Arabidopsis thaliana: one gene and its partners. The protein of the gene in region 2 interacts with the protein of the main gene of each other region in a pairwise test. Each region holds a gene or a part of one and is shown on either strand. Other genes may lie near its edges.

Region 1 (3,754 bases), on a different chromosome or scaffold from region 2:
CACGGTTCCGGAAACAAGTGAGGATCCTTAGGGGAGCCTCCACTCGGCAGTGTTGCACCGTACGTCTCTTGTAAGGGTTGCGTTTGCTCATGGTTTGGTACAGTTTCTTCACTATCACTATGAAAATTGTCGAGTTTACCGTTGCTGACATCACCATTGCTCCAAAAGATTTGCTTGATATTTTCTGCACCCATTGACCATTATTGATTGTTATTGACCTAAAATTATATATGTTCCAAAGTATATCCTAAATGAATTATTGTTACCGTGTAATTGAAATTCTGTTTGTATATTTGAACGTCGTAAAGTCCTTGTATATTGACGATAAACCCGACAAGAATGGCGTGCCAAAGAGGCACTTTATAGTAAAGGGAAGGCAAGGCAATGGCTATCATTTTGGCAAACCTGACCACCCCAAAAAGTAGCTCAAACCGGATAACATCTCTCCAGGAAAACAGTGAGAGATCGATATTGAGGCCAATCCCAATGACGTAGCAAGGCATCAGGACAGACCAAACAAAACAACCGATTTTGTCTGACAGTCCCGTGCCTAGAGGCGGACGTTTTGGGGTGGCTAGACCTAAGACGACCGCACCAAAGAAGTAAGGTAAACCCACAAATTCTGCCCAGAGGCAGGAGATGAAGAGCAAGACGCATATAACAGAGAGATAGGAGGCCTTGAGAGAGTGTCCTTCTGGTGTTCGATTCTTCATCCACAGCATTAGTGGTCGGAACACATATGCTATCACCAATATCATTATCATCTGCATTCATTTCCGTCTTTATATCATTAATAAAAAAGCGTATATATAGATCAAAGCAAGTTTATACTATACGTAAATATTATTGGATTCATGCATTTTATTAGGATCTTAGTTAGTTTGTCTATTTTTGTAGGAATTTACACAGTCAATTATGTTTTTATAGTAAGAAAATTGGAAGATGTTCCAAAGCAAAATTTGTAGATTAATTAAGAAATTATTTATCAACTTGGGTACCTGTAAGACGGACAAGAAAGCAGCGCGATTTTTATTGGGTAAGTCAACATTAAGTTTAATGGCGATGTTAAGCATGAAAAAACACCAAGAGAGGCAGTCATGCACCATCATGGATGCAAGTGCTAACCTCCCTGGCTCAGTGTTCAACATCTTTAGGCTCGACAAGACTCCGTAAACCACCTGAAAAAACATTGTGGACTGGACGATCGCTACATGGTGGAACTCCACGGGAGGGATCCCCGCAGGCCCGCTTTTGAGCCTCTTGGAGATCAAGATGGCCGCGAATTGGCCCCATACGAAAGGTATGAGGAAAAGTAAGATGCCGTTTATGAATGCTAACTTGCCTACTCTCTTTATCATCCTAGTGTCTACTTGACATGTTGTGATGTAGCAAATGAAGAGAAAACATATGGCCTCGAAGGATTCGATTATGTACACGCTTCTCGCGTAGAAGAATGTAGCCATGTACTGTTTGTTACGTCCTATAACGGACGGTCCTAAGCAGATCCCAGCCTGCAAACAAATTCACTATTAAATATTAAGTCACATTTACACCATTATGGGCATGGCTATACATGTTTTTGAGACGACTAGTCCATATTTTTCCACTAGAAAGCTTCCAATTATAGATGCTTAGATATGGAAACGTATACCAGCATCTGAGTGAGGAATGCAAATTTTCCAAAAGGCCGAAGAAGAAACTGAAAAGATACGGAAAATATGGAAAAGACAGAAATCTGAAGGAGAAGAAGAGGAAGAGCAAACTTGAGCGGATTCTCTCCCCGGCCAATCCCCAAAGAGCCTGCACCTACCCATGGCTCGCAAAGCCAATCAACTCCTCCGTACTGAAAAGTTTTGGTTATATTTTCCATTCCCTCCTGCTAGGTATTTCCCCTAAAGAGTCAAGCCATAGAGGGAAAGAGAGAGATTGTGTTGTGAGTTGAAGAAAAGAAGAAAGTATTAATTATTCTCTTCTTTTTTTTGTTTCTGCTCTCTCTAGCTATATTTAGGGGTTTAATTGTACATGTTGTTTATCCTCTTGTTCTTTATTTCTCTTTAGAGGTCATCCTACTTTTAAGGTTTTCTATATATGTTTTCTGTGTGGTACAAAAATCTTGAGCATGGTCAGATGATCATCATTATAGCCTGAGATTGATTGCACAAACATGTGTGTTTGTAATATATATTTTGCATGTTGATGTTATAATAACCAACCTAGCTACTAAATCCATGAAGTTAGATCCCTAACAAAAAAAGATTAATTAATAATCAACCTAGTAATACTCCTTATAAGTATTAATTTAAAAAAGATCAGGATCAACAAAAAAATAAAACTATAATAAAAAAAAAATGTGTAAAATACCAAAAAATACATCTGCCAAAGTGAGATATGACATATATAATTTCCTATTTTTCTCTGACGGTTATAATAAAGTCAACACAAAATCCTTGAAAAAACAACAAAAACTGTTTAATATCTTAAAAAAGATACATGTATCTTCTTCCCCAGCTCAACAAGCTTGATCTGTTTGCTCAATTAGTTAGCGTTATGCTGAATTCAAAAACACAAACAAAAATGGTTATAAAGAAGAACGTGAATACTAGTTTTAAGAAGAAAAAATATTCCCAAAGAGAAACAAGATGAACAATAGTGTTACAAGTAATGGCACACATGAATTTGTATGCGAGGCATGGTTGGGATCAAGCTCTGGCGGATTACTTAGAGGAGATGATCCATTGAAATATTCAACTCCTCTTCTTCTTCTTCTCATTTCTCTCGTCTCTTCTCTCTCTTCCGTCTTCCAAGCTCTTCTCCGCCCTCTCGCAAATGTCGACTTCGTCACTCAAATTCTGGTATGTAATCACTTTATCATACCATTTTCTACGTTTTTTTTAATAAATTTTGGATCTCTCTATATTTCCCGCAAAGAAAAAAAGGTTTAAACTATAGAAGTGTGATATTTTGTTGGTATATATGAAACAGGCTGGGATATTCTTAGGACCCTCGGCTTTGGGACAAAACATTGATTTAGTAAAAAAATTATTCAACACAAGAAGCTATTTCATAATAGAATCATTTGAGGCAATATCCTTCATGTTCATCTCATACATAAGCACGGCTCAAGTGGACATGGGAGTTATAAAGCGAGGAGGCAAGCTAGCAATCATCAATGGATTATCTCTTTTTCTGTTTCCTTACGTGGTGGGCGCCATAGCATGTACAGTAATCACGAGCAACATCCGTGGAACCGTGGCGAAAAATAATCCCGAGCAGCTCCACAATTTACTAACAAACCAATCCGTAGTGTATTTTCAAGTGGCGTATTCGGTTTTGTCGAATCTCAAGATGCTGAACTCGGAGCCCGGAAGGTTAGCCCTCTCCTCCATAATGGTGGCTAACTGCTTCGGCTGGGGTTTTTTCCTCCTTTTGATTACCTTTGACAGTTTCTTGCATCAAAATTACTCCAAGACCACTTATCTGCCTACCTTCACAAAGGTACTACTGCTGGTTGGTATAGTAGTTGTGTGCCGACCAATATTCAACTGGATAGTGAAGAGAACCCCTGAAGGAAAGAAACTCAAGGCTTCCCATCTATGCACCATTTGCGTCATGTTGTGCACCGCCACTTTCCTGTCTGAAACTGTAGGGTTTCCTTACGTAGTCGGATCCGTGGCTCTCGGTCTTGTCACTCCTAAGACGCCTCCTTTCGGTACTGGTCTCACTGACAAGATCGGTAGCTTCTGTTATGCGGTTC
Region 2 (3,754 bases):
CTTCTCAACATGACGTTCGGAAAGGTCAGAGGCAGTCAGACTTTAAATCCAGTAAATTCGGGCACAAGCAGTTCATCAGGAGCTGCAAGTGAAGATAGCAATATTAGACCTGAGTTTCCTGCTTGGGATATCCTCAAAGCCGTTCCATATGTTGTCGATGCTGCTTTAACCGCTTGTACTCATGGAAGGCTTTCGCCTCGTCAGTTAGCTACAGGTTTGTTTTGTTTTGCTGGATCAGATTCCTAATTGTGTTGTCATGTGCGATAACATCCGTCTATATGACCTTTGGCAACTCTGAATGCCAATGAGAGATGTTTGACTGTGTTGATCAGTTGTTATATCAGATGCATTTCTTACAGTAAAGTGAATTTATTTACAGAATAACAAGTGTTTTTCTTTCAGGGCTGAAAGACTTAGCAGATTTTCTCCCGGCATCATTAGCAACGATAGTAAGCTATTTCTCAGCTGAGGTGAGTAGAGGTGTTTGGAAGCCAGTATTCATGAACGGCGTGGATTGGCCAAGTCCAGCTACAAATCTATCCACTGTTGAGGAATATATAACGAAAATTCTTGCAACAACAGGCGTCGATATCCCTAGCCTTGCTCCAGGTAAAACTATTCAACGTGTTTAAAATGCCAGTCTGTTTGTTTGGCTTACCATCTCTGTAGTCTGTACCATCCTCTCTTTATAATAAGCTTTTTACCTGTCCTGATTTGATGTGTTAAAGTTAAAGTTGTCTTTTGAACTTATGGTTGACTTCTTGCTGTGGTATTGCAGGAGGGAGTTCTCCGGCAACGCTTCCTTTACCTCTAGCCGCATTTGTTAGTCTAACCATTACTTACAAAATTGACAAAGCCTCAGAGCGGTTTCTCAACCTGGCTGGCCCAGCTCTGGAGTGCTTGGCTGCAGGCTGCCCTTGGCCTTGCATGCCCATTGTAGCTTCATTATGGACCCAAAAGGCGAAACGTTGGTTTGACTTCCTTGTTTTCTCTGCCTCTCGCACCGTCTTCCTTCACAACCAAGACGCTGTGATTCAGCTCCTCAGAAACTGCTTCAGTGCCACTCTGGGTTTGAATGCTGCCCCCATGTCAAATGATGGTGGCGTTGGAGCTCTTCTTGGCCATGGATTCGGCTCTCATTTCTATGGAGGGATCTCTCCTGTAGCACCAGGGATTCTTTATCTCCGTATGTATCGTGCTCTCAGAGATACTGTCTCCGTATCGGAAGAGATTCTCTCTCTGCTGATACATTCGGTGGAGGATATAGCCCAGAACAGGCTCTCAAAGGAGAAGCTGGAAAAGCTGAAGACAGTGAAGAACGGATCAAGATACGGCCAAAGTTCTCTAGCAACAGCAATGACTCAAGTGAAGCTTGCTGCTTCGCTGAGTGCCTCGTTGGTATGGCTAACCGGTGGCTTAGGTGTGGTCCACGTTCTCATCAAAGAAACGATCCCATCTTGGTTTCTATCAACTGACAAATCAGACCGAGAACAAGGACCATCGGATCTAGTTGCAGAGCTAAGAGGTCATGCCCTTGCCTACTTTGTGGTCCTATGTGGAGCACTTACTTGGGGCGTGGATTCAAGATCATCTGCATCCAAACGCCGCCGCCAAGCAATCTTGGGAAGCCACTTGGAGTTCATCGCGAGTGCCTTAGATGGGAAAATATCAGTGGGATGTGAAACAGCAACTTGGCGAACATATATTTCCGGTTTGGTGAGTCTAATGGTGAGCTGTTTGCCGCTCTGGGTGACAGAGATCGATACAGAAGTGTTAAAGAGTCTAAGCAATGGACTAAGAAAATGGGGAAAAGACGAGCTAGCGATTGTATTACTCTCCTTGGGAGGTCTCAAAACAATGGATTACGCAGCTGATTTCATCATTCATTTGCGTTCATAGCTTCTTAAAAAGTTTTGATCTTCTCCAGATTTCAGATAGTTGTTTGATAGATGTTTTTCTTCTAGTGTTTGCTTCCTTGTTGTGACTTGTGTTCTCTAGCTCCAGTGTTGTGTGATGAAATCAATCACGCATATGTATAGAGAGAAACAGAAAAAAAAAAAAAAAAAAAAAAAAAAAAAATCTTGTATAGAAAATATTAGTGTACTATTCTAGACCGTTAGATGGATTAGTGTTCTATTTGGAACCGTTAGATGACTCTCCGTTGATTAGTTGGTCACAAGTCACAACAACATGTTAAAAGAAAACGAATGATTGAGTTTGGTTTCTTTGTATCATCTCTCTGTTTTTCCGAAGAACTAACACATGTCGGGACCTCAGTGCTGTGAAAACCCGCCAACTCTTAACCCGGTTTCCGGGTCGGGTCATGTCGAGAAGCTGGGTGGGCTTGATGCCTACGTCTCCGGCTCTGCCGAGTCCAAGCTCTGCGTCCTCCTCATTTCTGATATTTTTGGTAAAATACTCTTCTTTCTTTGCTTTGATCTGTTTTGACTTTCTTTGTTTTAGTTGAAATATGATCGGAGTAATTAGGGTTTTTGTTTTTCTCTTTTTGGATCCGTTTTGTTGATTTGATCATTGCATCATTGTTGACTCTGACTTTAGGTACGTTTTTGTTCTTCAGGTTTTGAAGCTCCAAACTTAAGGTACTACTACTAATTCTTCCCTCTTCATCGATTCAACCATTAAAAATGGAATCTTTAACTTGGGTTTGTTTCTTTGAAGGAATTAGATAGTATTTAGTAGCCACATATGAGGTCTAGTTAGAATTTTCATTTGAGCCTGCAAATAGTTTTGTTGGTTTTGGATTATGTACAAGATGAAGCATACCTATCATGTGTCTTTAAGTTGACTTGTCTTTTCTGAACTCATTTGATAAGATCTAAATGTTTAATTTGAATCATTGCTTTGATTGCATTGCATTATCTCAAGTTTATCTTGTACAACTATGGAGGAATGTTTATGGAGTGTTAAGTCTTAATTTTATGTCTTAAGGGCGCTTGCGGACAAGGTTGCAGCTTCTGGATTCTATGTTGTGGTTCCTGATTACTTTGGTGGAGATCCTTATAATCCCTCTAACCAGGACAGACCCATCCCTGTCTGGATCAAAGACCATGGCTGTGTTCGTTCCTCCTCCTCTCCTCCTTATAATAACTGTCCTATACATTCTCAACTTCTATTTGAAGTTTTGTTAACAAGTTTGACTCAATGTATGTGTTATTGTTCTGTTATTTTGATAGATTCCATCTGAATCAGTTCATATCCTCTTTTGTTTTTCAGGATAAGGGCTTTGAAAACACGAAACCAGTACTTGAAACCATAAAGAACAAAGGCATAACTGCCATTGGAGCCGCAGGGATGTGTTGGGGTGGTGAGTTTTTGTTAGAAATCTATGCCTAAGAGATGTGACGCTCTCTTTTTGTCTAATGGATAGTACTTTTCTCTCTTGTGTTATTCATCTTCAGCAAAAGTAGTGGTGGAACTGTCTAAAGAAGAGCTTATTCAAGCAGCTGTGTTGCTTCATCCTTCTTTTGTCAATGTTGATGATATCAAAGGTTAGTGACTTTGCTACTTCCATCTTGATTCCTCACATAGAACCAAGGAACATTAGTTGTCATGCCTTGCCTAATGCGTTGTAACATTTAGAGTCACCTATAGGATTGCGTAACTGATCTCGCCATGATTAGATACTATCATTATTACTGTAAAGAATACTAATTCACATTTGCAAACATAAAAAACACTGTGATTGGTCCGGTTTCTTTACTTTCACCGGTCTTTGATGATCCTTATCAATTTC
Region 3 (3,754 bases), on a different chromosome or scaffold from region 2:
CTCAAAACATAAAAATCAAGTTGTTTCTCAGTACAACAAATATACAATTTAAACATTATTAAGCCTAAAATTAAAACAATAATATCTAAAATACGGAATACGGTAAATAAAGGCATTTGAATTCATAAAATAAATGGTGGAAAAATCAGGCCAATCACTGAGAATAAAATTAAAAGGTTAAGTCATAAGATTCAAAAGTTTAAAGTAATTTGTTACTGAGAGTTAAAATGATAAAAATTCAAAAATTATACAGTAACTTCTCGAAACTAATAATCCCAACACCCACAAGTAGTTGAACTCAAGAAAAACACTCAAACTAAAGTTTTTAGAGGAGATAGTTTTCCATGAGTTTGATCAGAGTAACACATTAGTTGTGCGATACTCAAAGAAAGGAAGGAGTGAGGATGAGAAGAGCCTTCCATAGTCTCTTGGTAAACAGTAATTTTGTATTTGAAACCTTTCAGAATGATATATTATCACTCAGCGAGGCTGAAGAATACAAATATAAATGTAACTACTTGCTCATAGTTGAAGATAAGTAGAAGTTCCAAAACACAGAACCCATGGACATGAACGCTACTCGAGCTTGAAGCGGGACTACCCTGTAAATTTCACCTTTCATCAGACCTCAATCCTATTATACATAATCACACAATCTATAAAGACCCTCTCCAAATGACTTAATGATAGAGAAAGAAAGCCATACCAAAAGTTAAGTATGCTAACGGGAACCCAGAAGCGAAATCCTGCAGTAATCCCAAGAACAGTAAATATTTGAACGATGCTATGTAATAGTAAAAAAATTACTCTCTGTAATTGGTAGCTCACCATAAAGAAGCGTAGGAAGAGCATCTTTCTGATACTTGTTTCCAAGCTCAGAGAGCTTTCCCAGCCACAAGTTGTTCCAAGCAAATATAACAGCAATCACAGATGGACCAAGGATTACTTGGTTAAGCAGAACCTAACATGGGATCAGTATAAGCAGTAAAAACTATATCACAACGTGTTCCAAGTACAAATTAACAAAACACGCCTAGATTTGTACCTTAAGCACTAGATTTGTCGCAGTTGGTTTAGGCAAAGAATGATCAAGGAATTGGTACCACGCATAAGAACCAGGACCATACAAGAGAAACCCGTAAGAACTCATCCGCAGCGCACGAATCCAGTCATGTTCTGAGAAAATGTTCCACAATTCCCCCTAAGTAAAACGATCCAATCATAAATCCTTAGTCTCAAGCCAAGTTCCACCAATGTACGAGACCATTTTGCAAGAGAGTAAATATGAGTCACCCCAACAAGAATTCAAATCAAACATAACCTAACCAAAGACTGTCACTACTCACTAAACAACCATACTCACCAACATTTTTGGTTATGCAAAGATCCAGTTTCAGTAGAATTCTCACTATACCACACTAGGAACTTGATTCATGTAATATTTCAAACAATCAAAACATTCACTAAAACCTCTAAAATTCAAATCTATGACTCGAAAATAACCAAAACTTGGTCAGAGACAAACCTCGTCAAGCTCAGAAGATGATTGTTTAAGAGCGGTTCTCTTTTTCCATCTCCCTGATAGCTGAGCAATCGTGTCACCGGTGAAAGTGAGTGCTCCGGCCGTCACAGCTTGCTTCAAAGGAAACCGATAACCGCCGGCGTCTCTGCTCACATCGACGGAATCCGACGATCCAGAATTACGTTTCTTACCTCTATCACCGGAAGACTTCTTCTTTCTCCGTTGATCGAAGCCATTCCATCCCCAGAAACCACCAGCGCCGCCGCAACCACCCAATGCGTCCATTAAAAATGCTTCCTTTTGCGTCGAAACAGAGAAGAGTTTTGCCTAAATCTTAAAAATCGCAAATGAGTCCTGTCCATTTGTTTTTTCCGGTTTGGTTCGATTCCAATTTATTGGATCTTGGGTTTTCGGAAACAGGTCAAAAGTCAAACCAATTCTGAACCGAACGAATGTTATCAAACTGAAAGGATCAAACCAATTTATTGGATCTTGGGTTTTAATCAGTATTATATCTTTTTGAGGTCTCTATATTTATTTCACTGAATTTCGATTTATTTTGTTCAGTCCATATGATTCGGTATAAGAATTAATCTATAGTTTGAGTTAATATTCGGTTCATTTATTTTGATTTGGTTCGGTTTTATGCTTAGTGTACATAAAACGATGTGTTCACGTGAAACCGGTGAAGGCGCGATCAGACAGGCGCGGTGGTTAATAAATAAGTTAATAACTTACTCGTTACTAGGGCCGATAATCGTGGTTTTGAACGCGCGTTTACGAGAATTGCGTTAGCCAATTGTATTCATCATCATCATCGTCATCATCGTTGGGGTGAGTATACATACGATTAAAGAAACCCAAAAACTCCGGCGTCTGTTTACCGCTATCATCATTCTTCCGGGAAGAGGAAAAGGTTTCTTCGATCGTCGAAGAGATTCTTTGGACAAGTCCCCTCCTTCCTGGTTCAATCTTCGATTCAGCTCTCTTTTAATTTTTTTGGTAACCTCCTCCTCTGCATCTACTGTTTTCGATTTGGAAATAGATTGGTTCAATTGTGAATTGGAATTGAGGGTTTGATTGATTGGATCATCTCAATTCATAAATCAAATCCTTTGAATTTAGATTTAGAAAGCTCTAGAGTTTATGAAGATCTGCATCGTTCTTATGAGTTATATGATTGATGGATTTTTTAGTGTAAAGGAACCTACTTTAATGATCAAAGCTAACGTTTTGTTTAAATTTTGAGGCAAAATTCAAATTTATTCATATGAATATTCTCATAAGCTGATGAATTCTGTATCTTTGTACATTAGTGATATAGTCTACTTGTGTGTATCCTTGTTAATTCATATTTAAAGTGTGTTTTTTCTTGTAGGTTTTGGGAAGCTGCTATGTTATTTGAGAGGCTTACCAAGAAACCACCTTCGCTTGTTGATCTTTGCGTAAGGAAAGCGATTGATAATGTAAAGTACATTGGATATGTTGGTGGGGTTGATTTTCAGCTCCTTGAGCAGATTCTGCAACACTGTACACTAGAACAGCTGAAGCACATAGAGGATGCTACTGACGTAACAAGCTTTTCTCATTATATGGCACGATTAATCTTTTGTATGTTTTGCTGGGGGTTTTTTTAATCGTAAGTTATGCTTTTTCGTTGTTTTTGTTCTGCTAGGACACAGATCTTAGTCCAATCACCGATAAGTTTTGGAAGGGATTCTATAAGAAGCACTATGGAGAAGAGGACATGAAGGATCTTATAGAGGACCTGGAGTGGAATAAAGTAAATGATTTCAAATGGAGGAACTTATATGAGGTTGGTTTTTTTTTCAAGTCTTGATACATATTTAAGTGTTGAAATATTTAAGATATACATGCACATGGTTTCGTGCAGTTGAAGGTTATAGCTGTGCAACAAAAGGAGAAGGAACTTGGTGGTCGACTGAAAGAACGTTACAAGGACGAAAATGAAAGTATAACTTTTTACGAATCTGTCTTTTGTTATGGCCGTTAGCTCAATGATGAGAAGCATGTTCTTTGACCAAAATATTTTCTTCTTTCGTTCCCTTGTAATCGTTTTCAGTTTCCTTTTGTCAGGGAAACAAAGTCGACAAACTAAGGTCTGCTCGAAAGCTCCTCCAAGCAAAAGACCATTTTGGGGTAACACATTTTTTTAATCTAAATGATTTCTTGCAGCATCTGGTCAGATCTTGCCAAAAAACAGTATGCAAA

The links.
Region 1: the proteins of AT3G23600 (region 2) and CHX27 interact in a protein complementation assay, tested with the Arabidopsis thaliana proteins (one large-scale study listed by BioGRID).
Region 3: the proteins of AT3G23600 (region 2) and AT2G42770 interact in a protein complementation assay, tested with the Arabidopsis thaliana proteins (one large-scale study listed by BioGRID).

The regions. Positions count from the first base shown.
Region 1 is NC_003076.8:255,526-259,279, reverse strand, and holds the start of CHX27 (cation/H+ exchanger 27), read right to left. Parts: upstream 1,975-3,754; 5' UTR 1,871-1,974; coding exon 1,652-1,870; intron 1,512-1,651; coding exon 999-1,511; intron 765-998; coding exon 267-764; intron 185-266; coding exon 1-184. Other genes in the region: CHX26 (cation/H+ exchanger 26), read left to right, coding at 2,640-2,852, 2,983-3,754. UniProt on the Arabidopsis thaliana protein: May operate as a cation/H(+) antiporter.
Region 2 is NC_003074.8:8,471,571-8,475,324, forward strand, and holds the start of AT3G23600 (alpha/beta-Hydrolases superfamily protein), read left to right. Parts: upstream 1-2,056; 5' UTR 2,057-2,262; coding exon 2,263-2,410; intron 2,411-2,578; coding exon 2,579-2,600; intron 2,601-2,949; coding exon 2,950-3,076; intron 3,077-3,234; coding exon 3,235-3,325; intron 3,326-3,419; coding exon 3,420-3,509; intron 3,510-3,754. Other genes in the region: RFR1 (REF4-related 1), read left to right, coding at 1-214, 403-609, 779-1,899.
Region 3 is NC_003071.7:17,798,121-17,801,874, forward strand, and holds AT2G42770 (Peroxisomal membrane 22 kDa (Mpv17/PMP22) family protein), read right to left. Parts: upstream 1,953-3,754; 5' UTR 1,808-1,952; coding exon 1,526-1,807; intron 1,202-1,525; coding exon 1,046-1,201; intron 962-1,045; coding exon 829-961; intron 747-828; coding exon 707-746; intron 603-706; coding exon 515-602; 3' UTR 146-514; downstream 1-145. Other genes in the region: AT2G42780 (transcription elongation factor B polypeptide), read left to right, coding at 2,917-3,093, 3,198-3,338, 3,417-3,495, 3,620-3,682.